Linked DNA regions of Drosophila melanogaster. Changing the gene in region 1 together with any one later gene gives a genetic interaction. Each region holds a gene or a part of one and is shown on either strand. Other genes may lie near its edges.

Region 1 (7,436 bases):
ACGAGGCGAAAAGGTACAACTTTTCCGGGCCTATTTAAAAAACAGAAATACAATACAGTTTCAAAACTGCCGAGTAATCATCTCGAATGTCTGATGCCTTAGCATTAAAAATATAATTTTGATTAGTTCATATTTCTTCATCATGCCCTTCTAAGTATGCTACGCTTTAACTGATTAATACATTAATTCAACAAGTCCTAGTCATTCTAAACAGAATTTTATACAAAGTACCTATTTAAAAGTATTTTATGCTGAAACCTGATGTAATGGTTTCATTTTAATATTTTTTGAGAGTTTCATACATGTCCCGTAGACTAGATCCTTATTTCATGACAAGTTTTGACGACAGAGATTATCTGTAGCCTGCAGTTCGCAAGGACAAAACTGCTCCATCACGGACGTTTCAAAAACGCTGCACAGAGTTGCGCTGGGAACCTTTGCGAGGATATAGAAAACAAGAGGCGACTCCAACTGGATGCTGCCCTTTTGTGGTTTGCCTTTTATTGTTGCTTGTTGCTGGTGTTGTTGGTGCTCCGACTGGATGTTGCTGTTGCTCATTGCTGTTTGCTTCTATTTTCTTTTGCCGCATTTTGGTTCGCTTTTAATGATAACGCAACAGCATTGTGTGTGTATGCCACCGCCACCGCCAACCCACCAGCCCCTTCTGTCCCCTCATCACGCATCCTCGGGCTCATTCCATTGGCCAAAAGGCCTGATACCCTCTCGACCAGGCCACCTTTCGTCATCCGCTCAACCACAATAATGGTGTGCATCAGCCGGAGTTCAGGGGGTCACAAAGGGGTGAGTGGGTGTCGTCGGACGATGGGCGGTGTCGGCGGTGCCGCATCACAATCACGCATGCCGCACCACTGCCAATGCATTAAATGCTAGTTGAGCCCAGTAGTGTGTGCAACGTCTGGCGAAGTAAATTCAATTGAATTTTGCACTCGTTTTCTGTTTTCAGTTTTCCATTTTTTCTCCCATTTTCCGCACTCTTCTTTTATTTATTTTTTTTTTTTGTATTATTCCTTTCTCATTTTTGTTAAATGCCACAGGCTCATATTGCAATGGGCTACGCCCTAATACCAAGCACCACTACCCAATCCACAAAACGCGGCAGTGCAACAAACGCAACGCACCCTGGTTGATATTTTCTTGGTTGTTATCCTTCTCGCTGGCGGCGGGCGTGTGATTTGCTTGGTATCGACATTTTAATGATGTGCCCTGGGGCTGCTGCCACCGCATTGTTGGAGGACGCCTTGGCCGCCTTGTACTTTTGGCATTTGCGCGAAATGTCGAGACATTCCAATAGTCTGCCAAGGATCAGAACCAGAACCAGAAGCTGGAGCCGTACTATTGGGTAGTGGGAGTGAAAATGGCAGGCTATGGCGGCCTGGACATACCAAGTTGGCCTGCGGCATATACTTAAGTGTACATAACCAACTGTTAATGCCACACCATCGCCCAGCACAATGATTTGCTCGAAATGATTGCCGCCCTCTCTTGAGCATTCACTCGAGTTTGGGTTTGAATAATGCCAATGATTTGCCCGCTGGCAATCAAATTTGAGCCGGCTAATAACTGGCAATTGCAGGCAGTCGTTTAGGGAAAACGGCCAAGCATTCACTTAATTATACTATTAGTGTAATATTTATGGGCGTGTGTAATCAACAGGTAAAGCAGATAGTTTAGTTTGCTTTAAGCATAGTTTACCCCCACGAGCATAGATCTAATTTAATAGTAAGGTTCTATGATTAATTATGCACAATACAGTAATGTTGGCAAGTTTTAATGCCAGACATATTGCTACACAAAATCCCGGTGTCATTGATATGGACTGACCTGCACTTGGACAGTGAACCAAGACGTTGGTGCAAGGACAATAAAGGAAAATTTTGTACGAAACGATGTTACAGCAGGATATGGACTTTTGCAGAGCATGACATCACACATCCTACGGCTTAAAATGGCAAATAAAATGTACAGCATTTCTTATGACCGACAAATTTTCCGCTGTGGCCCCCACCATTATTTATAGGCATTTTAAACAGCAGGCAATGCCGCAATGGAAATGAGTGCAAAAAATATAAATAATACGGAAAGCAGGACATTAAGAACACGCCACGTTGGCAAGAAGTAGACGCATTTTAGACATTACCAGCAAATAAATATGAATGTATAGCAATACGGCAAGGGAAGGGGGGGGGGGGTATAGACACTGCTTACACGACGAAATTGACATTTTGCATTTAGTTATTCAGTTGGGTCTATATTTTGATCTTTTTTTTCTACCATTTTGCTGCCGCCGCTGGCAGCCACAATAAAATGAGAAGAAAAATTGCATAATAACCCCTTTGAAATCGTCGGATTATCCTTAAATATTTGTGTAAACATTGTAACAAATGCGCAGCTCCATTGTCAGCCAACTCGGGCCATGGATGCAGCACAGAACCAACCTCCATCCTTCATCCTCCACCTCTGTTTCCATCTCCGCCTCTTTGAAAGCCATCCCCAATCCATTGACGTAGTCAAGGCGGCTTTTCCTCAACCCCTGTGCGTCGTCTGTCGTCAAATGCCTGAATGATGAGCAATAGACGGGTCCGGGTCTCCTGTCACAGTCGACAATGAGCAACTTTTTCCAAAGGCGGAAGACGTGGCAAGGATACAAACGGGCCGCGTAGCCAACAATGGGACCAAGTGCTCCGCCGAGGAGGGAAAGCGTCTTAAAAAACCTGTCACACATATTGACAGTCGCTTTAGGATCGCTTAAATCAAGTCTGGGGTCGGCGGGGGCATGAGCCGAGTCGTCGGGTTGGTTAGCATGTGCGTATCAGCATAAAGGATATTGTAATCATTACATGTAATTCACATTTGGGGGTGAAGGGCAATTGCCGCAACTGACATAATTTTGATGTGTATTGATATGAAGCGGATTGTCAGGCAGGATAATTAATTTTCCAGAGGATAAAGAAAAACTCAGGAAGGGACATGTAATATTTTGAGCCATAAGAGGCTAATAGCTGTCTGCTTGTACTGTCACTGGAGTTTTAAGATTATTAGACAAACTTTTACGAATCTTTAAAGACATAAAAATCTGGATACTAATGGCAGTTGTAAAGCGTGCCCAACAACTTTAGCTCTGTTTTTTATCCGCTATTCCAATGCTTCCATTTGCTCTCTGCGCTTTTTCTGTACCGCTCAGTGTCCTAATCGAATCATCTCATTTAAGTGAATTAAAAAACATATAAAGGCGAGCAAAATTAAATCACGCAACTATTTTGCGCAACAAAGAGTACAATTAAAAGCCCACCCGGCGGCAAAAAGGACGAAAAGGAGGCGCAGTGGTGTCTGGCGCAGAAAACGCCGCAAGTTTAATCGAATTTAACTACTCATAATGTGCAACAGACGTTGGCGGATGGGGCTGTTTCAGTGGGTGGTGGGGTGGTTTGAAAAACTCTCAGAAGTGTAGGCGTAAAGTTGGGCACTAATCTTATTAGGATCATCCCGGGCCAGCCACTCACGAATCCCAATTGGGAAGATGAACTGAAAAAGCCAGCTGATGTAGAGCTCTCTCACTCGCTCGGTCGTTCTCTCTCTCCCTCTTTCTCTCTAGCCGACTTTATTCGTACGTGAGCGTTTCAATTACCGCTCTGGAGTGCGAATGGGTTTTATTATTATTTACATACCTGTTGCAGCAGGGGCATTGTTTTGAATAAAAATTCCAATTTCCACACTTGTTCACGTTGCGCTCCTTGTTCGTTCGTGCTCGTTCGCGTTCGTTCGTGTTCGGCAGGAGCAGCATCCGCCAACTGACAAAGCGGCAAAACAGATGTCACCACTTCCGCCTCTCGTACCTTCCCTTTCCCACTCCCACTGCCGGCGGAGAGCCCGTTCGCGCACCGTCTCTCTCGCCCTCTCTCTTTCACTCCTGCGCAGGCCTTTCGGTTGGAGTTCGCTGCGGTTCGAGTCCAAGTTCGTGTTGGATCTGGTTGGAGTTTGAATTGGATGCCGAGCCTCGGGCAAGGAATCTGGTTTTTGTTGTTGTTTATTGGAGCTCCACAGGATAACGCGACTGAGCGAGCGAGAGGGGCGAAGGCGAACCAAGACAGCTGGCAGATGTGGCCGTATCAGCAGCAAATAGTCATCGATTCATTCCGCCTCGTCAACGATGCAAATTTCCAAAGGCCTGAAATATCATAAGCATGAATTAATTATAAGAGTACTCTTCTTTGTAGTTTCCAAATCAGTGGAGTTTAAAGAAAACACACGCGTACGCACTTGAGCGTTAAATGCCGTAAATCGATCAAGGCGTATCCCTCTCTCTCCTACTCTCTATGACACTGTCCCGGCTAACTGTAATTAACTGTAATCCAGGGTCGTTTACTTTAAAGGGGGCTTTTATGGCCGCCAATAACACAAACTATGCATTATCCTTTCGGGTGGTAATCCTTTCGGAAGCTGTGTGTTGAGCGAACCTATTATTAGAGCCATAAATCAGCATGAAATGAGCAGTGGCAGCGAAGTTGGAGTTGTAAAATGGAGATGGAGATGGGGCCAAGCCCTGTCTCGCCCTTTCTCTACTCTCTCCATCTCACTCTCGCGCTCTGTGCGTAGAATAATGGGTAGTAAGAATAAGTGTGCACACAGAAAGAAAAATTGCTATACTTTCATGAATTGCACTGTTATTCATATTTCTTTTCAATTGATACCGGACAATCCAAAAATCTATTATTGTGCACACCTTACATTTTATTAACGAATTAAGACCCCGCGCAATTCCAGCTTCATTTCCTCTGTGTGGCCAAGGCGGCGATTGATTGCCGTAGTTTTTGGAGAGATGACGTGAGCCAAAGGCAACAGAAAAAAAAACAGGACCAACGGCACATAATAGTAGTGTGTAGTTGTAAAGTTGTAAAATACGCACGTCGAGAATGAGAGAACGAAAAATGAGCCGCTGCCCTGTTTTTCTTCACCTTCTTGTTACCAACTAATTTGAACTGCACCATTTTTCGGTCAACAATTTCTAGTGCCGGCTAACACTGATACACCAATACATACCCAGGACTCGCAAAAACACGCGGATGGCGCATAAATTCGTGTGAATTTTATTTTAATTCCGCACTTGCAATCGCATCCCGTTTCTTTTGTCGTCCACCAAGCACATTTTTACACACACTCGCACACACGCCGCCAGGAACCGTTACTTCTGCTTTGCACGCCCTTCGCCGTTTTCCGTTTCTCCTTCCGATGCTGTTTCGCCAAACTACTCACTCACGGACGCATTTTTTACTATTAAACTATTTTGATTGTTGAAAATCTTTGCGACTGTGGTATGGCACCACATTAACTCGAATTTAAAATTGAGCCTTAAATTTGAGCGGACCCTGCCGCGGCAATACAAATTAATAGAACAAACTAAATTATCATCCCGTGATATCTTTTATTTTGGAATTTTAGTCGGGATTTTTTGATATTATGGCCACGCCACGGCGTGCAACGCTGCTTAAATAACCTTTTTCGCCTGGCTCTGTCGAACCAACCGCATGCAACCGCTCTCTTGAACTTAAAAGCGCTCATTTGTTTGAAACAACTTGTGTTCGACGATTCCTCGACAAAAAAAGAAACAGTCATTAAAATTCGCACAAATGGCTGAACTATTTAAATAATTTATTTAATTTGTATTTTCATTTAAAGTTTTGGTTTTAAAATAATTTTTATATTTCCATTAATTTTATTACTTATTGGTAAAGCATTAACAGCAACCAAATTTTTTTCACTGGCGTAAACAACTGTTTCCAGTGAATGGCAACAATACAGCTGTTTTGCACAGAGTTGCCACTATGTTCAAATGAGTTATTACCAGCGGCGGAAAACTTGTATCAAATTTATAACAAAAATACAATTCTGCGTTAATAAAAATGCCCGGGGACACGGAAAACACAAGCACTGACACCACCAATGAACACATCGACCTGGCCTTGTACCGGCAGCTGGTCAAACAATTCATAGACATGGTAAGACAAAAAAACCAAAAGCCGGCAAGCAGAGCCTGAGTGCAAATTCAATTGCATTTTTAGCGTCGCTACTCCACAGCGCTTTTTTGGGCAGAAAAGGTGGCCGTGCTTGGTGGCCTGGAACCCAGGGATATTTACTACCAGGCGCAGTGCATGTACCTACTGGGGGAATACCATCGTGCTGCTCACACAATACAGCATCACAAGCTAGAGAAGAATTCACTGCCATGTTTTAACCTACTACTGGAAAGTCTCTATGCGGCCAAGGAGTTTACCGAGGCGGCCAATGTCATCCAGAATGTGGAGGTGGAAGTCATGACCACATCGCTGATCAACCAGCCCGTTGATGCAAGCAGTGGCTGCTATCTGGAAAGCAACAGTGTCTTTGGTGGCGAGGAGAATCACAGAAATGAACTGCTCTCATCCATTTACCTAATGAAGGGCAAAGTTTATGAGGCCCTGGACAATCGCGGCATGGCAATGGACTTCTATGTTCAGGCCCTTCACAAATCCATATACTGCTTTGAGGCCCTGGAGGCGCTGGTTCAACACGAAATGCTGATGGCTTGGGAAGGTGAGCATGCACCTACTTTCTGAATACAGTATAATCTCAACTTAATCATTGCAGAGTTTGAGCTAATGCATCATTTACCGCTGGCACAACAATCCAGCGAAGCTGATGCCAAGTTTATACTAAAACTTTATGAATCTCGCCTGAAGAAGTACTACGAGTTGATTTCCGCACGCAATGCTGAGGAGATGTCCCCCATTGTTAATCCTGACATACTCCAGTTTATCAAGGAATTTACAGCTCGAGTGCAGCAGAGCGGGTCGTCAGACACACAAATGCCCAAGGTGAGCGCCGTCAAGGTGCCGCTTACGCCCAGCCAGTTCATGTCGCCCGCACAGAAGTCAGTTCTCCTGATATTTCTAATATTTAGCGCATTCTTATTGAAGTTGTATCTTTAAGAGTCCTGGAAGATCTAAAGGCGCCCACATTTTCCCTACAAACTAGTCTCTCAAAGGCTTCTTCCCTCATTGATGCTTCTCACCGGTCCATGTTTGACTCATCCAGTAGGAGGCGATCGCGTGATCATGACACGGACACATTAATTCCTATCGCTGAATGTCTTGATCGGGTACAACGTAGTACTGACCTAATGGCCGCTGAGGCGGAGAAGTGTTTCTACGACTGCGACTACAAACAGTGCCTGAAAATACTCAATGAGTAAGTGAAGAACGGCGTAAAAGACTTATATTGATCAAAAATGTATTTGGTTTTGCTTATCATATATAGACTCCTTAAGGTGGATCCCTTTCATAACACTGCACTGACCATTCAGATTGCCTGTCTGGTGGAAAACGGCGACTTTAATCGGCTATTTTACGTAGCCCATAAGCTGGTGGACCGTTATCCGGACA
Region 2 (7,198 bases), on another chromosome or scaffold:
TATGTTGCTTATATCGTTGTTTTCTCTACTTTAAATTAGTTTCTTTTTACCTATCGCTCTACTTCTAACTCTCTCTCTCTCTCTCTCTCACACACTCTCTTTTTCTGTCTAATTCGAGTATCCTTTTTGTTTGTTTTATTTCCTTCTTTTTATCTTTTTTTGGTCAAGTGTTGCACTGCCTGTGTCTTAAAATGTTACACAAAACATACATACATACATAAAATGTGAGGAAACGAACATATAAAAACACATACATAATTGGTTAATTGACTGAAGAAAATAATATATATATATATAAGCGTGTGTGTGTAGGCGTTTGTGGGTGTGTGTGTATTTGAGAGTTATGCTTGTAGTCCTTGAACTTAAACTTCAATGCGAAGGATATTCTGCTCAGCGGTAACATTCAAATTTAACATAAATACATGTTTCTGAATGAAGTTTAGATTAATAAGAAGTTGCAGTGTTTTAAATAAAAATCAACATCGCATGAAGTTTCTCATGTTTTGAATGTTTATGGGCTCTAAATAAATATGCGTGTTGCTGTGTGTCCTTTTAACTATTTTGTTTTGTTATACAATTTCTTCTGTTTCTGTTTCTTTTCATTTTGAAATACAAACGCAGTTGGTTTTTGTTTTTTGTGTTGTTTTTTTAGTTTTTATATTTATATAAATGAAACTTTGCGCCCAGCGTTTAAAAACCTCAATACAATTGTCTCTCCGTCTCTCAGTGTGGCTGTTGTTGTTGTTGTTGTTGTGTGTTGCTGTCTATCGGTCTTCCCGTTGTAAACTATCATTTCAATTTATGTTTTTGTTTCGTTTACATGCAGTTAAATGGATTGTTTGTTGTTGTATTCGTGCGTATGTGTTTGTGTTGTAGTATTTGTTGTTGTTGGTGGTGTATTTATTTTATTAGTTTTTCTACACCCAATTTTAAGAATCGATCGATTGGAACGATCGATAATATATCGATATTTTGGTTTTATGTTTGGTTTTATTCAGACAGGCAGAGACATGATTGTATTCATAATCATATTCAGGTTCAGGTTGTCGATCGGATTTTATGGATGTTTGATTTGATTTGGTTTGGTTTTTTTTTGTGGTGGTGGTGGTGGTTGGTTTGGTGGTTTTGTATGTGTGGGGAGAGAAAACAAATAAAAAAGATATAATATATTTATATGCTTAGTAGTTGAATGATCCCTTGGTGGCGTTGTGTTTTTTTTAGTCAATATATAGAATTTTAGATTCCAAAATAAAATACAACAAAAAAAGATGAGAGAGTGGGGTAAATGGTGGAAAGGATACTAATAGCTAGTTATTAAGTTTTAAATTTACCGCTCGTAGTGGCATTTTAAAATTGGCTGCTGCCTGCAGCTGAATTTGATAAGCTAAGCTGTGTATTTTAAATCCATATAGCCTATGTATGTGATGATCAAGTTGACGTCGTATCGGGCACATAAAACAAAAGAGCATATTAACAATGTGCATATACAGTAATGGGTATAAATCTTACCTTGGAACAAACTGATTAGTAGGACGCTTGGGACGATATTCGGGATGCACCATGAAGAGCATGTGTGGAAATCCAGTGCCGAAATAGGCGCCATCGGTATGGTGGTGACGCGACGATTTTGGTGTGTACACGTCAATGCACTTGGGGCAATAGGTCTTAACCATTGCCTCGCCGGGGATGTCCGACAGACCTGAGGATAATAATCAAAGGATTAGACCACTGGCAGAGCAACTAGCAACTAGAAAAAGTCAGAATTCATCGGTGAAATCTGGTACAAACATATTTAACCTGATTTAACTCAACATGATATCCATCATGATCATTTATCATTAATAGCAGAAATGTTTACAAGGCTCGTCTAGCCACTTTGGCCTAGTTAATTTTCACAGAAATTGAGGGACCTTGTTTAGTGAAACCCTATCTTGCATTTGTGCATGCATTTGATTCAGCATTGCTTTATTTGATCGTTAACAACGTTTAGGGAAGTTTCGGTAAGAATTTATTGGAGATCGGGAAGCGTTGCGAAGGTTTTAACTAGGGCAAGCCAAGCCAGACAATTAAGGTAGAATTTCTATTAAGAATGCGTTGTTTTTTTCTTGGTGTAAGATTTCATGGGAAAGCCCCAATGATATGCTATTCAGGAAACTCAATTAGAAGTTGTGCCAATAATCGCGTTGATAGTTTCTGGCTATGTAATTACTAGGCAGAAAAGCACGAGGTTCCTCGTAGATATGTTGTTTTTTTTTTTTTTTTTTAGATTACAATCAATTACGCGCAGAAAGATTCGCAACTATGTTTGTTAGCTATAGGTAAGAGCGATTGATCAAGGATCTGGTTACGCACCCAATGGCAGCATGGGCTGACTTTCACAGTAGACACGTGGACAATGTCCGAAATCGCCAGTTTGATATTTCTCGATCATTTGAGCGATGCCGCGATTTGTTAGTATATATCTGGCGTGTATGAGGCCGTAGAGCATCTCGGCGGCCTGCTCGGTCATGTCGGACTGCAGTGGATTGTCCTCGAGCTCGTCCTCTGTGGATGGTAAGGCGCATTAGCTATATACATTACAATTTTGGATATGGGTAACAGCCCATTCTAAACTTACCCGGTTCCAAGTCCAAGATCATGTCCAACGCTTGCCGATAGTTGGGTACCTGCTCATTTAAACCAGTTAAATTGAATTTATCCTGTATGTAGTCCTCATCCACCTGGAATCAAAAGCGTATGCAATTAGGATCTGTACTGGAATATACTGTCATATATCCACTATATCGTGTGTTATCTGGACATGTGTGTACAGTTGGGCTCGGTATTGCCCCACCTTGCGGCACACACGCACACACACACACACACACGCGCGCGCAAAGGCAGAGATTGAGGGCTGCACTTTGCAATTGTTGCACTTATAGCGCGCGCTTAGATAACGCGATTACAGCGAAGAACGCGGGTAATTCGTCGTTGATGCTGATATGATGATGATATCTCACCTCGCAGAAGAACTCATTGCCACGAAGTCCACAGAACCAGGTGACCCAGGAGACTTCCTCGGAGCTGCTCATTTTGCTGCAAAGATAAGCGAATGGAGTTGCTAATTCATATTTTCATCGTTTTTTTTTTGCTGACAAATTATCCTGCACACGCATACCACACATGCACACCGCACTCTCACACACACAGGCAATCATGGCACACACACTGGGACAAACGCTCACGCACTATTACATACATTAAGGGGATTATTTTGCGTAATTTGGGCTGGCGTGCGAAATTTATTGTTAAAATATCTTGGAACGGAATCTTGGCACTTTCTTGTCTACCCCACCCCCCCTGCTTTCTTCACGTTTCCTTTTGGTTCCGCTTCTTGTTGCTCGCACAAACCACACTCTCTTTTTCCGCTTTTTTCTTCTTTCCTCCTCTTTTTTTTTGGTTGGATTGGCCTTTTGGGGTTTTTGTTTTCGGTTTTCCGTTTAATTCGCGTTGCTTGTACAATGTTACTAGTTTTCGGTGATCGCACCGTTGAAATTCGTGTGGTCGGGGGGCATAAAAATAAATTTTTATACTCGTATTGTGACAATTGACAAGCGCTCATACAAAATGTGCCGAGCAGCAAGAAGAAGCACACACTGTTGGAAATTGAGAAAAAAAGAGACACATATACAGGGGCCACCACACGCACACAAGCAAACACGCACACCGCGAAGCGCACATAGGGACGTGCACACACGCACGCCTTTACACCGATGAGCGCAATCCAACGCACACCAACTTGCTATTCTGTATTTTTCCCGCTGCGGCTATCTTCCAGTGGCCAGCACTCACCCAAATTGTTAATAATTACTCAAATTGATCGACTTTTGTACTGCAGCTGAACCGGTAAAGGCAAATATTGTAGCGAAGACGATGATATCAGGTATGCAATCTCGACTATCGATTACCGCTGTCCTGCGCTGTCCGCAGGCGATTGCCAATCGATGTGGCGCCGTGTCATCGCTAAGCGATGTATCGGCTAATCGGGATTGCGCGTTTCGCAACACTGGTTCGGAAAAGCAATTAACCAAACAAAACGCGGAATTATTTGTTAAATAAGCAAATCAAGCCAAATATTAAAATATTGTTTATTACCAGCATTTAGTTGGCTGTTTTGCCATTTGTCAAATAATTTACCGATTGCAGCTAGCAATATTTTCTTACAACTACTTTAAGGTATTATTTCGTTTAGTTGTATGGTAACACTATGTTGAAAGTTTGAAATGTTTGAAAGTGCTTATTTAAATTTGTATTATTGACAAAATAAATCGGGTTTTCGTATAATATTTTCTCTTAGTTGATTGATTAGACTAATAATACAAGAACGAGCGATAAACCCACTGCATGCATTTTAAGCGCAATCGCTCGAAAGATGTCAGAGTGAGAGCGAAGCGAGTTGCGAGCTTAAGCGAAAAAGCGAGAGCAAGGCCTTATCGCTTCAACTCGCTCAGGGCGTACGATTGTTTTGTTATATTCTGCGCTATATTACCGTTTATTTTCAAAACACACGTTATTTTGTTTTGTCTTGTTCCATTCTGTAAATAACCTTTTATATAAATTATTGAATTCGCCTTTTTCATTTCTATTTCAGTTAAGAGGGTGGACGACAGTTTTAACAGAAAGTTAATAGTTGCGCTTGATGCAAAAAATTCCTCGTCCGAATCCATCACGTTCACATTAATAACTAAAAGAGAGCAATGTAGCTCGTTTCTCGCTTAGCTCTTACTCTGCCATCGACTCGCTTTGCTCACAGCTTCTCGCTTTGCTCATAGCTTCTCGCTTCGCTACTAGCGCGCACTCTGCCGTCAGGCTTATTGATAATTTTGAAGATTTCCTTGGCTCTCTTGCGTCCATTCACAACATAGGCCAGTGGATCGTCGCGACTAGATTCCATTAGATTGTCGCACGATTCCTGCCCGATGTTAAACATAAAGGATGTGTCGATATCCTGCGGCAACTTGCCGCGCAGAAAGCTGATCTCGTTGTCGGCCAACGATGTTTTCCGCGACAAAAGCAGGGCGGACAGGTAACGTGGTTGCTTCTTCTTCTCGGCGCAGTGCATCACCAGGCCCCAGGTGTCGTAGTCCGTGTCCAGAACGTATGTGTTGTAGATGCCCTCATCTGCAAGGAGGTACATATAGAAACGAAAATACTGCTTAAAACATATATTAAACCCGGGCAGATCGAATTACTCTTTGGCATAGTAATTACCAAACTACTTCAAACGTATCACAACTACATTTTGAATAGATTTTCGTTTTGAATTTGATTGTAGAAACATTTCCATCACTCACATATGTCCTCCGTGTGCTGCCAATGTCCTGGCTCTTGGAATTTGGGTATCATCCAGGTGATGTTGCCCACGAGCTTCTCGCGCAGCGGATCCTCCGCAAATATGTAGCTAAAGTTCATCGTTATCTAATTTAAATTGAGGTATTGAGGTATAATTTGTAATAGGGATAAAGGTCCTTGCTGCCACTCACATGCTGATCCTCTTTGGAAAAGGAAAAGTGACTGCGCATGCACGCGTACTCCGGAAGTTCCTCTGTGGATGCGTAATACTGAACCACGTGCCAACAGCCCATCATGCGCTCCAAATCGAAGTTCTTAATGGCTCCCACCTAAACGGAAAATTAGTTCCATAATAAGTTAGATATGTAAGTAATTTAGAGGAGGTCTTTATAATGTTGTATAATATAATATATAATGTAATCTATAATGATAAAGATCTATTATACTTTATGATAGGAGTTTTTTTCTATTACCTATATATATATACATTAGACAGCGAGGGTTTCTGGTTAAGATTCACATACATATCTTATATTTATAATAACTCTTGAGACAGTCGTGCTTTTTAATGGGTATTTAAAAACCCTGGTGTACGATCATTATTATGATATTTGAGAGGTCAGGGCTGCTAATAAATATGCCCAATAAACGTTAAGACCACAAATGCATCTTGGCTATAATCCCAATTCAACTTAGCTAGCTGCATGTGTGTATTTACATTGTTTGCCCTGGCGACCACAAAACAAAACAAACTTCGGTTGGTGAAAGAGTCGAAGAAGCGACAGACGACGAAAGCCGTTAGCGCTGTCACCGTGATTGACTACTGACAGTTCATTGAGAAGTCAGTATGGCCGTCCCTCTCTCTGCACCGCTGTTGCCGTCTCTTTCGCTGTTTTGCAAGTCGCGACGCGCAGACACGAGATGCAGACGCAAGACAGCCTCTGATTGATGCGCCTCAAAAGCGCATTGCACCGCATGTGCCCCCCCCCCCCCCCTTATCCCCTTTTCACTGCACCCCCTCTTTCGGCACTGTCTTCCCGCCATCTCTTTCTTCGGGTCTCTACGTGCGTGTCTTTTGTCTATTATTGCTGATTGTTTTCTGACTTTTGGCTCGCTTTTCGGTGTTTGTATTCGTAGCAGTATTTGTCGAACTGCACCTGCATCAAAGTGCAATTGTCGCCGCCAACGGAGATGCAGACGATGAAGAGAGGGGAGTGAGAAGAAAGGGGACGGGCAGAGAAGAGAAGAGAAGACAAGACAAGACTCAGACGACGTCTGAGCCACTTAGAAAGTGTGATTGATTTTGGCATCGGTGTGAGCCCATTTCTTCTGCCTGGCTCTTTCTGCGCTCGCTTTATGTCCCATTCATTCTATTCGCTAGAGATGGAACGTTCCCGTCAATCGTTGGATGATTTCCAGTGGGGCAGGACACAGGAAAGTCTATTATAAGACCCATAGTACTATTATAACCGAATATTATACTATCTTTGAGGTTAGAATTCATAGCTATTGCCACAGAGTCGTTTGATTTAAGGAAGTTCGACTGTAGGCGCTATTTTTTTTTTTGTACCAGCTAACTAGATGGTGCCATCACTAGCGACTTGAAATGTGTCACAGTGCGCCCGGCATATTGATGAGCCTTTGAGTTTGACTCGCTTTTGGGCTTGGATTTGAGATGCTTTCCTCCTCCGGCGGCTGTGCTTAGAATGAAATCGAATCGAAGCGTTGCCAAAGAAAGTGATCCAGTTAGAAGAGGCCGGGGACGTGACCAGGGACGGGAACCTGTACATCCAAAACTGCACCTGCGTCCGACTATCTAATGGATTGCCTCGACTGTCTGCCGTTCTATTCGCTTAGCCAAATTCAT
Region 3 (7,778 bases), on another chromosome or scaffold:
GTTCTATCCCGTGGACCACACCTATGTGATTTGATTTTGGATTTTATACTAACAAGCAATGGGAATCTGAACCGATTTTTCTGCTTATGCTAATGCCACAACTTATATCAGAATCAGCTGATAATATTTCCATTTGAAACTTTGTTGTATAAATTATATTTATTAATAAGAAAAAAAAGAAGGTATATTGACTTTGGCCGGAAAGACGAAACATTTGCGAGCATATAAAGAATATACGTATATTCATGATCAGTATCAGCAGCCAGGTGGATTTCGCTATGCCCACCAGTTCTACTACGCAAACTCAGTTCTACAGATATCTAAATGAAACTACCATTAAAGTTTGTTCTCTAATACTTGTCAGGTAGTATATAAGTAGGAACGGGCCGGATTGGACTTGGGCCATTGCATCACTAGGAATATTCGAAAAAAATGTTGGTCAAAAAGTATTTTAGTTCGGTTTTCGGAATTTTTTAAACAATATATAATTTTGGTTTTAATTTGGTAAAAATCCGACGAATATATATTCCGAACAGTCGGAAAAGTAATTGAAAATGGCAGAAATTAAATCACAGTTCATTTTGATTCACTATGATCTTTATGCGGAATAAAATCTTAGTTTTGATATATAAATTGTGCAATGATATATATCTTTCCTTCCTGTTCTCTATTTAAATTTGGTAATGCGTTCTCTTGGAATGCTAATGTAATGGATAGAAAAATCAAATTAGCTCATCATATAAAAAGAAACAATATAATTGTTATCCTCTTTAACCAGAAGTAAATGCCATTTAAATAAAAATTTTTTTGCTTCATGATAATGGTATATACAAAACTAAGAAAAATTATATCGAGAAAATTACTACTGCTGAACAGTAGTAAAAACCAAATACTGCATTCTAACATTAAGACCAAGCCGAGCGGCATAGCCGCTCTTCTCTATTGCCAGTATCCCTGCAAACTCTTCAATCCTAGATATCATTTTCATATATCAGGTAATCCTTAATTTCTCGTCTCCTCAACAACCTCGACATTATCAAAAAATTCCATAATGAGATTTAAATTACGCCGGCGAGTGCAACTCAATTGAGCGACACTCAAAATCGCCCCACAGTTGAGTGCGACATACCCACATTGAGCGGGGCTCGAAGGTATAAAAGCTGGAGCAGCCCAGACCACAGTCAACAGTTTCCTCCGAGCGAGCATTCAGTCCTCACACAATCTATCACAGAAGCCAAAAAAAATAAGATTCACCATGAAGAACGCTGTTGCTATTCTGCTGTGCGCCCTGCTGGGTCTGGTAAGTGTTGCAAGGAGACAGAAGCCGATGGCAGCCAGTAATCTAAATTCATCCGTTTGCTCCTCGACAGGCCTCTGCCTCCGACTACAAGCTGCGCACCGCCGAGGATCTGCAGAGCGCGCGCAAGGAGTGTGCCGCCAGCAGCAAGGTGACCGAGGCCCTGATCGCCAAGTACAAGACCTTCGACTATCCCGACGATGACATCACCCGCAACTACATCCAGTGCATCTTCGTCAAATTCGACCTGTTCGATGAGGCCAAGGGCTTCAAGGTGGAGAACCTGGTGGCGCAACTGGGCCAGGGCAAGGAGGACAAGGCCGCGCTGAAGGCCGACATCGAGAAGTGCGCCGACAAGAACGAGCAGAAGTCGCCCGCCAACGAATGGGCCTTCCGTGGCTTCAAGTGTTTCCTTGGCAAGAACCTGCCCCTCGTGCAGGCCGCCGTCCAGAAGAACTAGGAGTTCAGCGCAGTTCCACATCAATTCTAGAAGCGAAAGATCAATCAACACGCAAGCAACGCGGCATTTTCGAGTTGAAATCCGCTCAGGCTCTGCAATCCTACGATTGAAATAAAACCATATAATAGTGCTTTTGAATGAAGAATGTTCTTTTTATTATTCACAATATTTCTGAGGGCTGGAAGAGAGGTAGGGCTGCTGGTGGTGGCAGGAATCAAGCTGTTACTCGCATCCTCAATCCCAAAAAACCTTGTCCCGCCCAAAGGAAAGGCATTGATAGCTTATTTAATTCGATTATATTTGTCTTCATCTTTTTCGCTTTAGTAAATTCAACTTCTTTTCTTATCTTCTCTTTACTCTATATATTTTTTTTTTAAATATATAAATTACACACGCACTTTTTATATATTTTGTTGATTTACTTCTTTCCCAAGAGTCTTGTGTTCTTTTGATTTTTTTTTTATATTTTCTTCCTTCTTTATTTGCTTTTGCCATCTTTTAACTTCTTTTATTTGGGGTTTGTGGTTTCTTTTGCGCTTCTTTTATATATACTTATTGTTGTATATACTTTTTTGTTTTTTAAATCAACTTCTTGTTTTTCATAATCTTTTTTTTTTTTTTGATGTTTTATTGAAAATTAAAATGTGTGAAAAGGGGGTGTTTGGTGTTGGGTGCTTCAAAAAACATTATAGCCAAGTCAAGATATTCGTTTTCCTTGTTGATTTTTTATTATTTTCGAGGTCTCTTCTTTTCGCCTGTTTTCTTGCTGCTGATGCATTTTTTATTGAAACGATATTTTTTCTGGCGTTTTCTGTTGCGATTGTTTTCTCTTTTTTATTTAGCAAAGAAGTTTGGCAATAAAATAATGTTTTTTGAAATTATATTGTAAAAAAATCTGAAATCAAATAGTTAATGGATTAAAGACGACAGTCGGTAAATCGAATGGAAGCATTATAATAAAACCCAACACGCTGCGAATGAGAGCAAGGTATTCCCATAAAGGGTTCGGAAAATTATTCTGTTTTTGACCATAAATTTGATTGTTTTTATTTCCCGTAATGATCTACCAGCTATGCAAACTAAATCTATTTAGCTCCATAAAAACAAACGGCATTTTCTAACAACTTAAATTTAACATAAAAAGACGTCCTCATTGGTTTTATAAATTTTAAGAAAAAAAATGTATCAAAATATAAGAGATAGATATCGGATTACTTTATGTAACCGACATAAATCGGACGCAACCCACACATATAAAATTTCAACTATCAATTATTTTCAGTTCGAAATTGTCAACTTACCTTACTAGGGATTTTAATAAAACAATAATCAGTAAGGAGCGTAGTAATTGGCGCGACCACGGTAACCCCTTCTGGAACGAAAGACAGACCGGGATTAGCTCGATCCAATCGGGATTTTCCAGAGCCCACTTACATAGCTCTTCGGGCGCCTCGGAAGGTGGAGTGACAGCACGCCCGGGAGACACGGGCTCCTCGACCCCGGAAGCTGCCGCGTGCGAAACGGTTTGTGGTGGAGAGTCCAGGGCGGTTTGTGCGCTTCGACATTACCTGAAAGTCAATAGATTAAGCTAAAGTCAACTCTAAATATGTGCTTTCAAAATTGCGCTACGTAGGAGTCCCTAGGACTCATTCTATCCACATATGTACATGAGAGTTTGATAGGTAGCAGGACTAGCAAAAAGTGCTTCAGATACTCACCTTTATTTGACGCCCTCGGAAGAGGGTTTCGTTCATGGCCAATGCCGTCTCGACAAACTCCTTGGAACCAAACTCAATGTATGCGAATCCCTTGGGGTGCCCGTCAGCCTTGTTGCAGAGTATGGTTACTCGGTTGATTGTGCCGCATCCGTGGAAGTGGGCCTCCAGTTCCTCGGCCGATGCGCCGTAGTCCACATTGCCCACGTAGACGGACCGCGTGTCGATTTCCTGCTTCTCCTCAAGAGAAAGCGGGACTGTGGCCAAGCCGGTGGTAGACCCACCGGCCATTTGTTTGTCCACCTCCGACTGCATCTGCTTTATCTTCTCGGCCTCCTCTTCCATCTCCTTGACTCGAGCCTTTATGGCCTCCAGTTCCGGGTCGATTTGCATGCTGCCCTCCTCCTGGCGACGAGGAAAATATGAAATTTAGTGGTATTTGATTTGGAGCGATGAGCAAACGCCCGAAACCACAGCAGACAATGGAATGGAGTGGCGGTGCGAAGTGACGCTCTGAAAATGGCAGCCATTGCTGCGGTTTTCGGCTTTGTATATCCCCCAAAGCTTTGCGAGCTTTTCCAGGGAATTCGGCGGGCTTTCGCAAGGCGTGAGGCCAAGAAACTGGTTCTTGGGCACTGTCTACAAGGGCAACCCCAACTCACCTCGACCTCTGTGGCGATCTCAGTCTCTTGCTCCCCGTTCGTCTCCTCCAATGACTCCAGGAGCTGATCCTCGTTCAATGTGATATCTTCATCGGCCATTGCTTTGGATTTGGGTTTGTTTACGTCTGCTACAAAAGCTCGGTTTTGTTGGCGCAAAAGCTTCCGGCGTGGTACTCAAAACGGCAGTTGTCGTAACTATGTATGTATGGTAGCTGTCAATGAGAAAAGGGCGGCGAAAGTGAGCATAAAGAGCGTAAAACATTAAGAGCGCGAATGAAGAGTTCATCATGCAAATGCAGTGAAAATCCAAGCCATAAGTAAATAAATTCAGGCTGCGGACACCGAAATGTCTAGGTTTCACTGCGTTCGCACTACTACACTGATATTTAATTAAACACACTGTACTTACGTTTAATAAATGTACAAATTACGAGCTCGTTCTGCTGACGTTGAGTTCGCCCAAAATGGCTGCCCTGTGAAAACACACGTACGCTGGGTTGCTGGGTTGCTGTTTTTCGTTCAAAAGTCTACGTTTTTAAACCCTTTTCGACTTTGTTTCGCGCCACACCACGTCAGCATAAATATTTATTTATAAGCTTATTTATTTATTATTTACTAATATTTACAACTATACGAAAACGTACGTAGTTTTTGACACAAATTGAAACAGATTTGTGTTCGCCTCGTTTTTACCGATGACAGTTTTCGCCTCGATAGTTTCGATGGTTTGGTGGTGGGTTTACCTATCGATAACTGCCGGTATTTAAGAAAGCAGTTCTTTGGATGATAAAAATAATAGTATTTTCACACCACAATGCCATTTTAAATTTACCATAGGAAGGAAAGAAGAGGAATGTGCACGCACATTTCTAACAAGGTTTTGTAAATGGGAATCAGACAAATTATTGTTTAAGGAAGTCATATATTGCGAAATAACGCCATCATTCAACCATCAATCAGGGCCCATGCATAACGATAAAAGGAGAACATGAACGATTCCTCCGATTCGGAGTACGAGGACACAGAGTACCTGGTATTTGCGGATTTCAAGAACCACATTCATCCGCACCAGCTGAAGCACGAGGACGCGGCCATTAAGATCATCGGAATCGAGAGTGACACGCCCATGGCCGAGGTAAATGGAAGCATTTATCGGGGACGCTACGAACATTCCGTGGGAACCAACGTGTTCTTTGAGAAGGAAAAAGACAATCTGGCAAGTGATCCGCTTTTTGAGTCAGTGTGTCGCCAGCGGTACCAGTACGTGGACAAATCCACCAAGGTGATATCTTTTGAAAGGGTCTACGTGGACAATTTGCACCAGGAGGTGGAGAAGTCGGCTGAGACTGAAGAGGACGATCAGACCGAGCCAAAGCCAGAATCTCTGAAGCTAAATATAACTTACAAGGAGGCTATTAACAAGTTTGGAGAAGATCATTGAGTGTGGAGAACTGAGTCTAATCCTGAACAAAAAACACTCTTTCAAGACATACCTCTTAGTACCATGGATACCACCTATATTACAACGAATCCAGCTTTAAGCCTGCGAGACTTTCTAGCCGACTATCAAAAGAAAATATCCGGTACTGCAGACGAAGTGCCCTTCTTTCTCCAAAAAAACCCAGTACTTGTCGACGTGTCTGAAAGCTGTTCCCTGGACTTGATCGAGTCCCCAGACGACAGCTCGATTGCAGTCTTCCAGCCCGCCGCAGACAAATGCCGCCCAACCTTTTCTCCGCCGCAGGAGAACCAGCATGTGCCCTCCACTTTTACTGCTCTAAGCCAGCACAAGGACAAGTCCCGTAAGTGTCCCTTTGGCCGCACCCAGTACAGCCACAAACTGAATCCGACGCCGACAGACTCGCCTAACCTGCACATCGATGCTTGCGGCGAACTGGAGCTAACCGTGCGTCTATATCGACCACCGCGGGCCTACCATCGCGGGTTTAAGGTGGAGATTCCCGTTTTCGCCGAGGAGTTCGTATGTCTGGGCAGCAATTATCTGACCGAGCTGCGGGACAAGATCAGCTGCGTTTGCAATGGAAAACGGTTTGTCGACATCAGCGACGATCCAGATGCACCGTTGCCATCCATTGACACAAATCCCGGTTACTTCTTCATCAACGACACATTCTACAACGACCAGCGCAATCCGGACAATCCCGACTATTCCAAGACCGTCTTGCAGTGGGCTGCCAGAGCGAACGGAGTGAACGGAGAAACGCTTAAGGTGGAGAGTATGGAGGGCAAAAGATTCATCGATCTCACTGTCAGCCCCGGATCACCGCTACACTACCTGCACCACGGCAATTGCGAACACCTGTTTGTGATCTCCCAGGTAGAGGTGCTAACGCCACTTAGTAAACGGCCAGATCGCAGCCTGTATCCCTATCCTCACGCCTTCAGTACGTTTAATCGCAGGACTTGCTATATGTGCGGCATTCGCAGCTATAGCTTCATCGTGAACCAGTCCCGGCGACAGCTGCACGATCCCTCCTACCTGTGCCGCAGATGTTTTCTCAGCTTCTTTTACGTGGATGGTGTCAAGCTGGGCCAGTTCAAAGCCTATCGCATGTATGACCATGTAGAGCTGGAGGGCGAAGAGGAGGACATTAAACAGCAAAATCTCCCCTCCTGAATATACATATACATTTGTGTGATTTTTTCTTTATTTGCGAGCTCCTTTGACTGCAAGATCGCTCAAGGAGTTGATTGATATTTTGTTCTTGTAAAATATTCATAGATAGATTTAAATAAAATACATACACGTTGCAACAAGAGTAATTGGCATTGAACGTATTCGATTGCCGTAAAGCTGCCTAAATTCCATGCAATCTAGATTAGCAAAAAGTTAGTGTCCAAGTTAGGAATACAAAAATGCAAACAACGTAAATAGTACGATACATCTGGCTTAGAACTTACGTTAATACATATATGCAGTAGTTCAATGTTTAAAAATTTGCTTAAGGATTTGCACACTGTGGTGCAGAGTATAGACTTGACCAGGACCCATATAAAACAAACCAATAGACTAAATATGGCAAATAACATAATACATTATCCTAGACAAGATACTAGTACTAACCGTACTTAGCAGTACAATACAGTAAAATTCTGTGCACTGGGATTCCGGCGTGCACGTGAAGAGAGACTGTGCGCTTAGTTACTGGGGCGTAGAAATGCATCAACAACATATTGCCAATCCGACCAACAAATATCATTACGAACAACTGCAGGCTGGGATTCCATTCGCCCGGACCTCTTTGGTGTACGCGCTTGCGTTTACTTCAGTGTTAAAGCTTTGACCAGCGGCTTCTCGACGGCGGGCGGCGGTTGCCTAACTCTGGAAGACCAGCTCCCGCTCCACCGACAAGTACTCCAGCATCTGCGCCGGCACTGGCAACTGGGCCAGCTGTTCGCGAGACATCTGGCGCTGCAGAACACGGCGGCATAAGTCCTGCAGCTTGGGCATGTTGGAGTACCGGCTCAACGGGTACTTGAGGATCACTGGAAACGGTGGCTGCATCTCGTTGGGAACCTTCACAAAGCACACAAAGTTGTCGTTGGTGCAGCGGTGCAAGATATCTTCGATCATCTCGACAATGGACTCGTACTTAAGTTCCTCGAAGTGCCAAAAATTGTCG
Region 4 (7,306 bases), 9.6 Mb from region 1:
CTTGTTGCCAGCCTTGGACAAAATGCGCAGCTCCAGGACATTTCCGAAGCGTGAGAAGATCTCGCGCAGATCATCCTCGCTGGCGTGGTGCGGTATATTGCCCAAAAACAGCTGCTGATTATCACCGAACTGCTGCGTGTTGCTCGAGCGACGCTGCTCAAAGTCTGTAAAGTATAAACAGCAAGTTATTAGGAAGAGTTTCTAAAAAGCGGTACCCAATTTTGCTTATCATATAAGCCAACCTTAAGTTGATAAGAAAGTAAACCAACAAAATGAATCATTACCTTTCTAAAAATCTGAACGTAAGCCAATCATAATAAATTATAAGGGGACTAAAAAAGTAATTCTTAGAAACCACTGTTTTCATTTCTACATGAGATCCAAAAGTTTGCACTACATCTTTTAGTCTTTTTACCCTGAAGCCGAATAGAGGGGAATGACCCCTTTTAATTTAAGGGTGGAACGATGAACTTACCACCCTTGTTGTTGCGGATCGAGTTGTTTCGCTGCGGCAGCGGGCCACCGTTGTCCAGTCGCGAGTTGCCGTTGCTGTTGTTGTACGACGAAGCGGTGGTGGAGTAGCTAACCTGACTGCCATTACCGCCACCCGAGGTTGCCGAGGAAGAGTTATAGGTGTTGCTGCTGATGGACTGCTGCTGCTGCTGTTGCTGCTGGAGCTGTTGCTGCTGCTGCAGTGCGGCGTTCACAAAGCCGCTGGGCGAGGAGGACGTGGACTTGAAGAGATTCGCGTACGTCTTGGGCTCATTCTGCTGCTGCTTGGCGGCCTCGTACTTCTCCTGCTGCTGCTGCTCGTGAATGGTCTTGAAATCCTCGACGGGCGTGGGAGGCTTCTGCTGCCTTGGCGCCACCTCCACTTCCTCGGGCTCAGCCAGCGGTTGTTGCTGCTGTTGCAAAGGCTGCTGCTGCTGGATAGGTTGCTGCTGCTGCTGCTGCTGCGGGGGCAGCTGTGCCGGTTGCTGCTGCTGCTGCTGCTGGATGAGCTGTGGTGCCACCAGTGGCGACTGTTGGAAGCCCGCGCTTGGCACTGGAACAATGGGCAACACAGGCGTGCCGGTCGGCTGCTGCTGCTGTACCAGGGGAGACACGCTGGGTGGGACCAGCACCTGCTGCTGCTGCAGCTCCTCGTGCGACACCACACCGTTCTGGATGGGCTGTGGCGGCGGAACGGTGAACTGCGCGGGCAGTGGAACAGCAGCGGCTTGCGGAGCTGGTGGCAAAACAGCCACAGGACGTCCGGCGGCAGCACCCGCTGGCAATGGGTAGAAGATCTGCTGTGGGGCAGCACCACCGGCCGCTACAGGAGCTACCTGCTGGGGCACCACGACCTGAGCCTGTGGCTGCGGAGGAGCCTGCTGTTGCTGCGGCTGCTGGGCAACTACATCGCCGGCCACCTGCACAGCTTGATCCACAGTGCCACCGACGACCTGCACATCGTGCTCCTCATCGTTCTCCGATCGCGACTCGCCATCCTGCTCGTCCTCGATGTAGAGATCCTGATAGCGGAAGATGTCGTTGTGCACGTAGTACTTCTTCGGCGACTGAGCGGCCAGAACGAACGTCTGGGTAAAACGCCGCATCGGCTGGCCATCATTGGATAGCTCCCCGGTGACCTGAACCACCACACCGTTGCCCAAAGTGGCCTGGGCATCAACCTGGCTGATCTTCGCGTGGCAATCGTTGAAGTTCAGCTGCTGGATTCGGTTGTGGATCTCCCGCTGACCGACCACCAGCTTGGACTCTCCATGGATGTACGACGAGTTGTGGTTATAGAAGCGATGCAAGTGGTTGGGCGCCTTGTTCAACAGCGTGTAGTACTGGCGGACAAACTCGCGTCCCACAGATTGCGGCGAAGGCTGCTGCGATTGGGTCGCATCCATGACCATAGCTGGCGTTTGATTCTTCCTCTCTGAACTACGGACTCTTCGACTCGGATTCTTTGTCTCCGCTTCCAATTTCTGCTTCCCTTCTTTCTAGCTGCTGCTCGGATCTATCGACACGGTGGCTGATCTGTGTCGATTGAGAGTGTGGGAACGTCTGCGAAATAGTGCAAAAAATATACGCGCACTATGAAAATCTGTCTGGTTTTTTTAATAAAAAAAAAGAAAAGTTGGCAAAAGTCCTAGACGACTGTGTAGATTTTTCAATCTGATAATTTGAAATTAAAGGAAGCTGCTACCCTGTTTCTTACAATCTCCAAAAGGTGTTCAAAGATGGCTTATTCATACCTGTGCCGGTAAAAGTATAGAAACCATAATGAATCACTAGTTGTGTTATCAGTTAATTTCATCACGTGTAAATTTAATTTGGAGAATTAAGGCTTGATAACGGTAAAACACGCAAATATAAGAAACAAATTTAATTGGATTTTCAGACTGTCCATTAAATCAATCTGTGCTTCTTTTACATAAATTTCTAGAGAAATGTGACTGACTACCAAAGTGTTGACCCCTGCTGTGCTCTCCAATAAGGATCTAGAGTTTCGCTTGGTCACAAGGACGGCGGGGAGGGGGGGAGGTTTGTACACCCAAAACAGGGAGCTCATTTTACCGCAGTGCATATAAAACAGACGCAGCGCGCTGCAGTTTGACCCACTTTTGGGGCCCACACACATTTGCACATGCGAAAAGGGGAAATTTGGTGTAGTGCAGCTGTCAGGAAAAATTCCAATTTGCTTGCCGTCGCAGGACATTTAACCCTGCACGTGCTCCAGCTTTTATGCCTGCGATCCTGGCTGACTGAACTTTGCACGTGTGTGTGTGTGCGCGAGTAAATGACCTCATACAATTTGGCAAAGAAAAAAAAGAAGCCGCCAAGCGAGGAGCATGAATTAAATTGAGGTTATGTTCGGGTCTCAAGGTTGTGGCGCCGCATACAATGAACTCCAGCTTGGCCAAAATATCAAATTGCTGCCTTGCAAAAACACTTGAAATAGCGTTAAAAGGTGTAAGTAAATATCAATGTTTGCAGGTGTCCTTTGCCCCATTTTAGCCATAAACATTTGCCGATAAAACAAAAAATGCACAATGAGTTGCGGCAAACCCACACGCACACATATTCGGTTATGAACGCGCCGCTCTTTCGGGTTCTCTCTTTCCCACTCTATTTCTGCTTGCGAACCGCGTGTGTAGGAAGAACAAAGAAAGCTATAGTTGAAGAGCAGCATTTAAACAAAAATGTACAAAAACAAAATTTTTCGTACATTTTTAGGTTATGCACAAGCGATAATAAAAAAAGCCGCTAAAATGGTAAAAAAAAAAATTTAAGAGATAGAGCCCTGCCGCAATAATAAAATATACGCCCATTTAGCATTTTTTATGTTGATTTTTTCCTAGTATGCGCCACCCCTTTGAAAATGGAAAATGCTAGTTTTTCTAGACCGCGCACACGAGGCCGTCGCCGGCTCACCTTTTTTAAGCGATATTTTTCCTCGTTTTTATTTTTCCTTTTTGTAATGCACAGTGTGTATTGCTTTTGGGTTGAAGTTTGCCGAAAAATCGGCACTTTTTGTAGCACTTTTCTTTGTTATCTTCCTGCGGGGGGCGGGGAGAGTTGGATTTCTTAGTGGAGCGCTGAAATTATGCGGTTTTTTTAATTTACAAAACGATAGTCGAAACGTATGAAATGCAGTATAAAATTGCAAGCTGCACACAAAACACACAGCCACACACACCAATGCACTCACTCGCTCACACACACACACTAGTCTAGTTTGTTGCAATTCTTTTTGTCTTTTTTTTTGAGAATAACTAACTTGGCAATTCTTGACGTGTATTTTTTGTTGCTTTCTGATGTTTGGCGATCACAGTTGTTGTTGAATTAAGTTACGATGCATATGTTGTGGCTTTTGAGTAGAAAATAATCGCAAACGCAATGAAATTGGACAAGTGTGTTGAATCGAGAAGAGAACCGACGTTCGTTCCTCTTTTCCTCTTTTTTGCCTCTGCACAGTTTTATTCTTGGTTTCGCGTGTGTTGGTGTGTGAATGATGGCGGCTTTTCCAAGGGTGTGCACACACTTCTTTTTTTGGGGTGGTTAATCTAGTATGTTCCATAGAATATTTTGATGAATTTGATATTTTCATATTTGAGCTCAATTAAGCTCATTTTAGGGGCGCTAAGTTTCTTTTAAATAGTTTTATAAAACTTATTTTCATTTTAGCCATTTCCGATTTTTTGAGTAAGCTCATGAAACACCTTTCTTTAAAGGAAACATTTTATATAGCAAATAAATAAAAACCATAATAACGTTATATTATAACCTGTTGGGAAATCCGAATATGAAAATTGTATAAATTTTTGCAAAAAATAAAAATATTTAATATAAACCAATTAAATGATTTAAAATATTGTTGATGTTTCAGCCTATAAGAAGTTAATATGAAAATTCGATTTTAAACAATTCTTTGTATGTAAATGTTGTTTTCGTTCCCAACACATAGTAAATAATGAACATTGTATTTTTTATATTTATAAAATTATAAATGTTTATGAAATACTTAATATTTATTTAAATATTTAAACCTTTAATACAACTAAAATGAATTTATAAACCAAGTAACTTGTCCATTGTGTAAACTGGGCTTTAAAATATTTGTATAAAATTTTTGGTATTCTTTTCATTTTCTCTTCATAGGTGTGTGTACATTGTATAAATCAAAGCTGCCATACTGCAAGCAGACAAGTCACGCGCCCATTTAGCTCCTTATATAGGCTTATTTGGGGTGGTATCGTACAGAAAATCCCAATTTAATCCTTGGCAAATGTATAGCTAACAATCTCCAGGTAGAGCAAGCAAATACAATACAAATATTTACCAAAATAATACCAAATCGACTTGACTGGGAAAACATCAAGGTGGCAACGCCGCACCCATATACACACGCTGTCGTTTGCATTTATCATTTTCCGGTCGTCATTTCATTCGTACGCGCGACTTTTTGGCGAGTGTGTATAAAAATCTCCGGCTCTGCGTAAAAAACGAATATCGTGCTGCCTAGCCCCCGAAATTAGTAGATCAGTCGAAAACACACAAAATGGCCGAGAACAAGCAAGTGGATACAGAAATAAACGGCGAGGATTTCACCAAGGACGTGACTGCCGACGGTCCGGGATCTGAAAATGGTGATGCGGGCGCCGCCGGCTCGACCAACGGCAGTTCGGACAACCAATCGGCCGCATCCGGCCAGCGGGACGACGACAGGTATGTCCATTATCCGGCGGATACGTTTTTTTTTTGTTCTTTTTTATTTTTGCAACGGGCAACCGATGATCATGTGCCCCCCATAGATTTTCTGCTTCTACATAGTGTATATTGCCTACTCTGTTACGTAAATGCAAAGCTAACGTCGTTGGTCGAGTTTCATTGGATTTTACGGGGTTCTGCGGGGGAAGTCTGACCCCTTTTGTGTTCTCTCTCGCTTGCGCTCGTGCGTCGGAGTGTGTTTAAGTGTGTGTGTGTGAGGTGTCGGTGCGACTGTACTTCAGTCATATTAATAGAATCTTCGGGCCAAAATGCATCATCACAGTCTCGGGAGACATGGAAAATTTTCAACGTTTTCCCCTGCACACACACGCACTTTCCGCAATGAAAACCAGAGTTTTCTTAAGCTAGGAGCACATTTTCTCCCCTTTGTGAGGTTATGTTTGTTTCCCACGTTGCCCCACAGACACACTGTGACGCATACGAACACAAATCATACGGTTGCCTTTCACTTGCAAAAAATGTGGCGAAAAAAAACGTTGGAAAAAGTTATGTTTGTATTTGTCAGTGTATTCTTTTTAATTCGCATTACTCTTTGTTTCGGCTATTTCGTTGTTATTTTGTGCTCTTCCAGTTTTGTACCCAAAATGGCGGCTGCATACAGGCATACATACCAACCTAACGCCCGCTGTTCTGTAGGTGTGTGCGTGTTTTGCAGTTTTCACTTATTCTCTTGCTTGCCGGCTTCGCTCGCTCGCCACCTCTTTTGCGCGCTCTTACTCTCAGAGAGCGACAGCCGGCGTTGTTTGGAGTTGCCAAGGCGCCAAAATATTAATTTAACGAACAATTAATGTAAATTATAAATGATAAATAATTTTGATGGATTAAAGCATAGAGATAATGATGATCAAGTAGAATGGTCCTCTTGTTTGCTCCCCTGCGTTTTGGTTTTTAGGTCTAGCGTACACTTCATTTGCCCATCCTTTATGATCATTTTATATCTAAGTTTAATCTTAAGTCACACGATACTGTACATTTAAACGATAATACGAAACCAGCGCTGACGAAGCAGATGCAGATTATTCCCCGTAAAGGAAGAAGGACGAAATGGAGAAATTAAATCGAAAATCATAGCTTATCCTGTTGTCTTGTGAGCGAACTAACCTTGTTCCTCTCCGGCAGGTTTTGAGAGAAGTGAAATGCCCCAGGTCAGGGTTTTAAGCTATGCTCAAGACGGATATGGATTCGGATATGGATTTGGATTCGTATTCCTGCCCCCGGCAAACGGTTACGGATTCGGATTCGGATTCGGCGGACTTATACTTGGAGGATATGCAACCCTCTCCACACTCCAGTCTCCAAAAGTCTCCGCTCCGCCGATACTGATGCTGATGGTATTTATCTATCCAAAACTAAAACAAACAAACAATCAGTCAGTCAGCCAATATATAGAACTATCAACACACAAAATTATCAAGAAATAATCTCGATTTAAAATTGGATCCATATGTAAACTGTATACGAGTATATATTGTATTGTATCTCTTAACGTATAACTTGTAAATTACCTAAAAAAAAAAGAAAAACAAAAAAGTACCAAGTAATCGGAGACAGAGAGAGACCGAGTGAAAAAGAGACTCGCAGTTTTTTCGTTTTGTTTTATGAAGCTCAAAAACTATACATTATATATCGCCCGAAGAAAGAAACACAATGAACGAATGTAACGTAACGAATTGCCACAAAAAAGAAGCACAAATCACTAAATTGCAATCGAAATTCCGCCGCCGTGTGATGAGACTGTTCCAAATTTGCCGGGAATCCGCCGAGAACGATGAGATATCTTTCCAAAAAGTCCAGAAATCAATGAGTAACGTACACATCATAGTAAACTATAAGTGTCTGCATATTTTTTCAACATTCCTTTTTATAAAAAAAAAAAAATATAAAATAAAATAAACAGCCAAATAAAGAAAGTAAAACTAACCACAATCCAGCATAAAAACCTTTGCATTCTTTTCTCTCATCCTATTGAATAAAGACTAATTGTTAATTGTTATTTGTACAGACAAAGACTCTTAAGCATACC

The links.
Region 2: of orb (region 1) and CkIIbeta, changing one enhances a phenotype caused by changing the other (phenotypic enhancement), as found in Drosophila melanogaster (one study listed by BioGRID).
Region 3: of orb (region 1) and Pabp2, changing one suppresses a phenotype caused by changing the other (phenotypic suppression), as found in Drosophila melanogaster (one study listed by BioGRID).
Region 4: of orb (region 1) and rin, changing one enhances a phenotype caused by changing the other (phenotypic enhancement), as found in Drosophila melanogaster (one study listed by BioGRID).

The regions. Positions count from the first base shown.
Region 1 is NT_033777.3:23,275,373-23,282,808, forward strand, and holds the start of orb (oo18 RNA-binding protein), read right to left. Parts: upstream 5,485-7,436; 5' UTR 5,059-5,484; intron 4,187-5,058; 5' UTR 3,705-4,186; coding exon 3,687-3,704; intron 1-3,686. Other genes in the region: Cdc16 (cell division cycle 16), read left to right, coding at 5,919-6,014, 6,078-6,588, 6,643-6,925, 6,985-7,242, 7,312-7,436.
Region 2 is NC_004354.4:11,789,320-11,796,517, reverse strand, and holds the start of CkIIbeta (casein kinase II beta subunit), read right to left. Parts: upstream 3,986-7,198; 5' UTR 3,832-3,985; intron 3,805-3,831; exon of another isoform or gene 3,773-3,804; intron 3,640-3,772; exon of another isoform or gene 3,239-3,639; intron 3,076-3,238; 5' UTR 3,072-3,075; coding exon 3,000-3,071; intron 2,721-2,999; coding exon 2,618-2,720; intron 2,545-2,617; coding exon 2,353-2,544; intron 1,700-2,352; coding exon 1,510-1,699; intron 1,414-1,509; coding exon 1,332-1,413; intron 918-1,331; coding exon of another isoform or gene 909-917; exon of another isoform or gene 787-908; coding exon of another isoform or gene 724-786; exon of another isoform or gene 1-723. Other genes in the region: karl, read right to left, coding at 4,787-5,160, 5,334-5,457, 5,523-5,660. UniProt on the Drosophila melanogaster protein: Participates in Wnt signaling. Plays a complex role in regulating the basal catalytic activity of the alpha subunit.
Region 3 is NT_033778.4:8,128,489-8,136,266, reverse strand, and holds Pabp2 (Pabp2), read right to left. Parts: upstream 4,837-7,778; 5' UTR 4,544-4,836; intron 4,347-4,543; 5' UTR 4,234-4,346; coding exon 4,135-4,233; intron 3,878-4,134; coding exon 3,476-3,877; intron 3,326-3,475; coding exon 3,192-3,325; intron 3,127-3,191; coding exon 3,087-3,126; 3' UTR 3,059-3,086; exon of another isoform or gene 2,790-3,058; intron 2,653-2,789; 3' UTR 1,893-2,652; downstream 1-1,892. Other genes in the region: Obp44a (Odorant-binding protein 44a), read left to right, coding at 1,256-1,300, 1,371-1,757; CG42516 (uncharacterized protein), read left to right, coding at 5,123-5,575; Pbp49 (PSEA-binding protein 49kD), read left to right, coding at 5,639-6,772; Socs44A (suppressor of cytokine signaling at 44A), read right to left, coding at 7,472-7,778. UniProt on the Drosophila melanogaster protein: Involved in the 3'-end formation of mRNA precursors (pre-mRNA) by the addition of a poly(A) tail of 200-250 nt to the upstream cleavage product.
Region 4 is NT_033777.3:13,643,667-13,650,972, reverse strand, and holds the start of rin (rasputin), read right to left. Parts: upstream 3,970-7,306; 5' UTR 3,773-3,969; exon of another isoform or gene 3,704-3,772; intron 3,591-3,703; exon of another isoform or gene 3,427-3,590; intron 2,152-3,426; exon of another isoform or gene 2,056-2,151; 5' UTR 1,905-2,055; coding exon 476-1,904; intron 165-475; coding exon 1-164. Other genes in the region: sqd (squid), read left to right, coding at 5,054-5,220.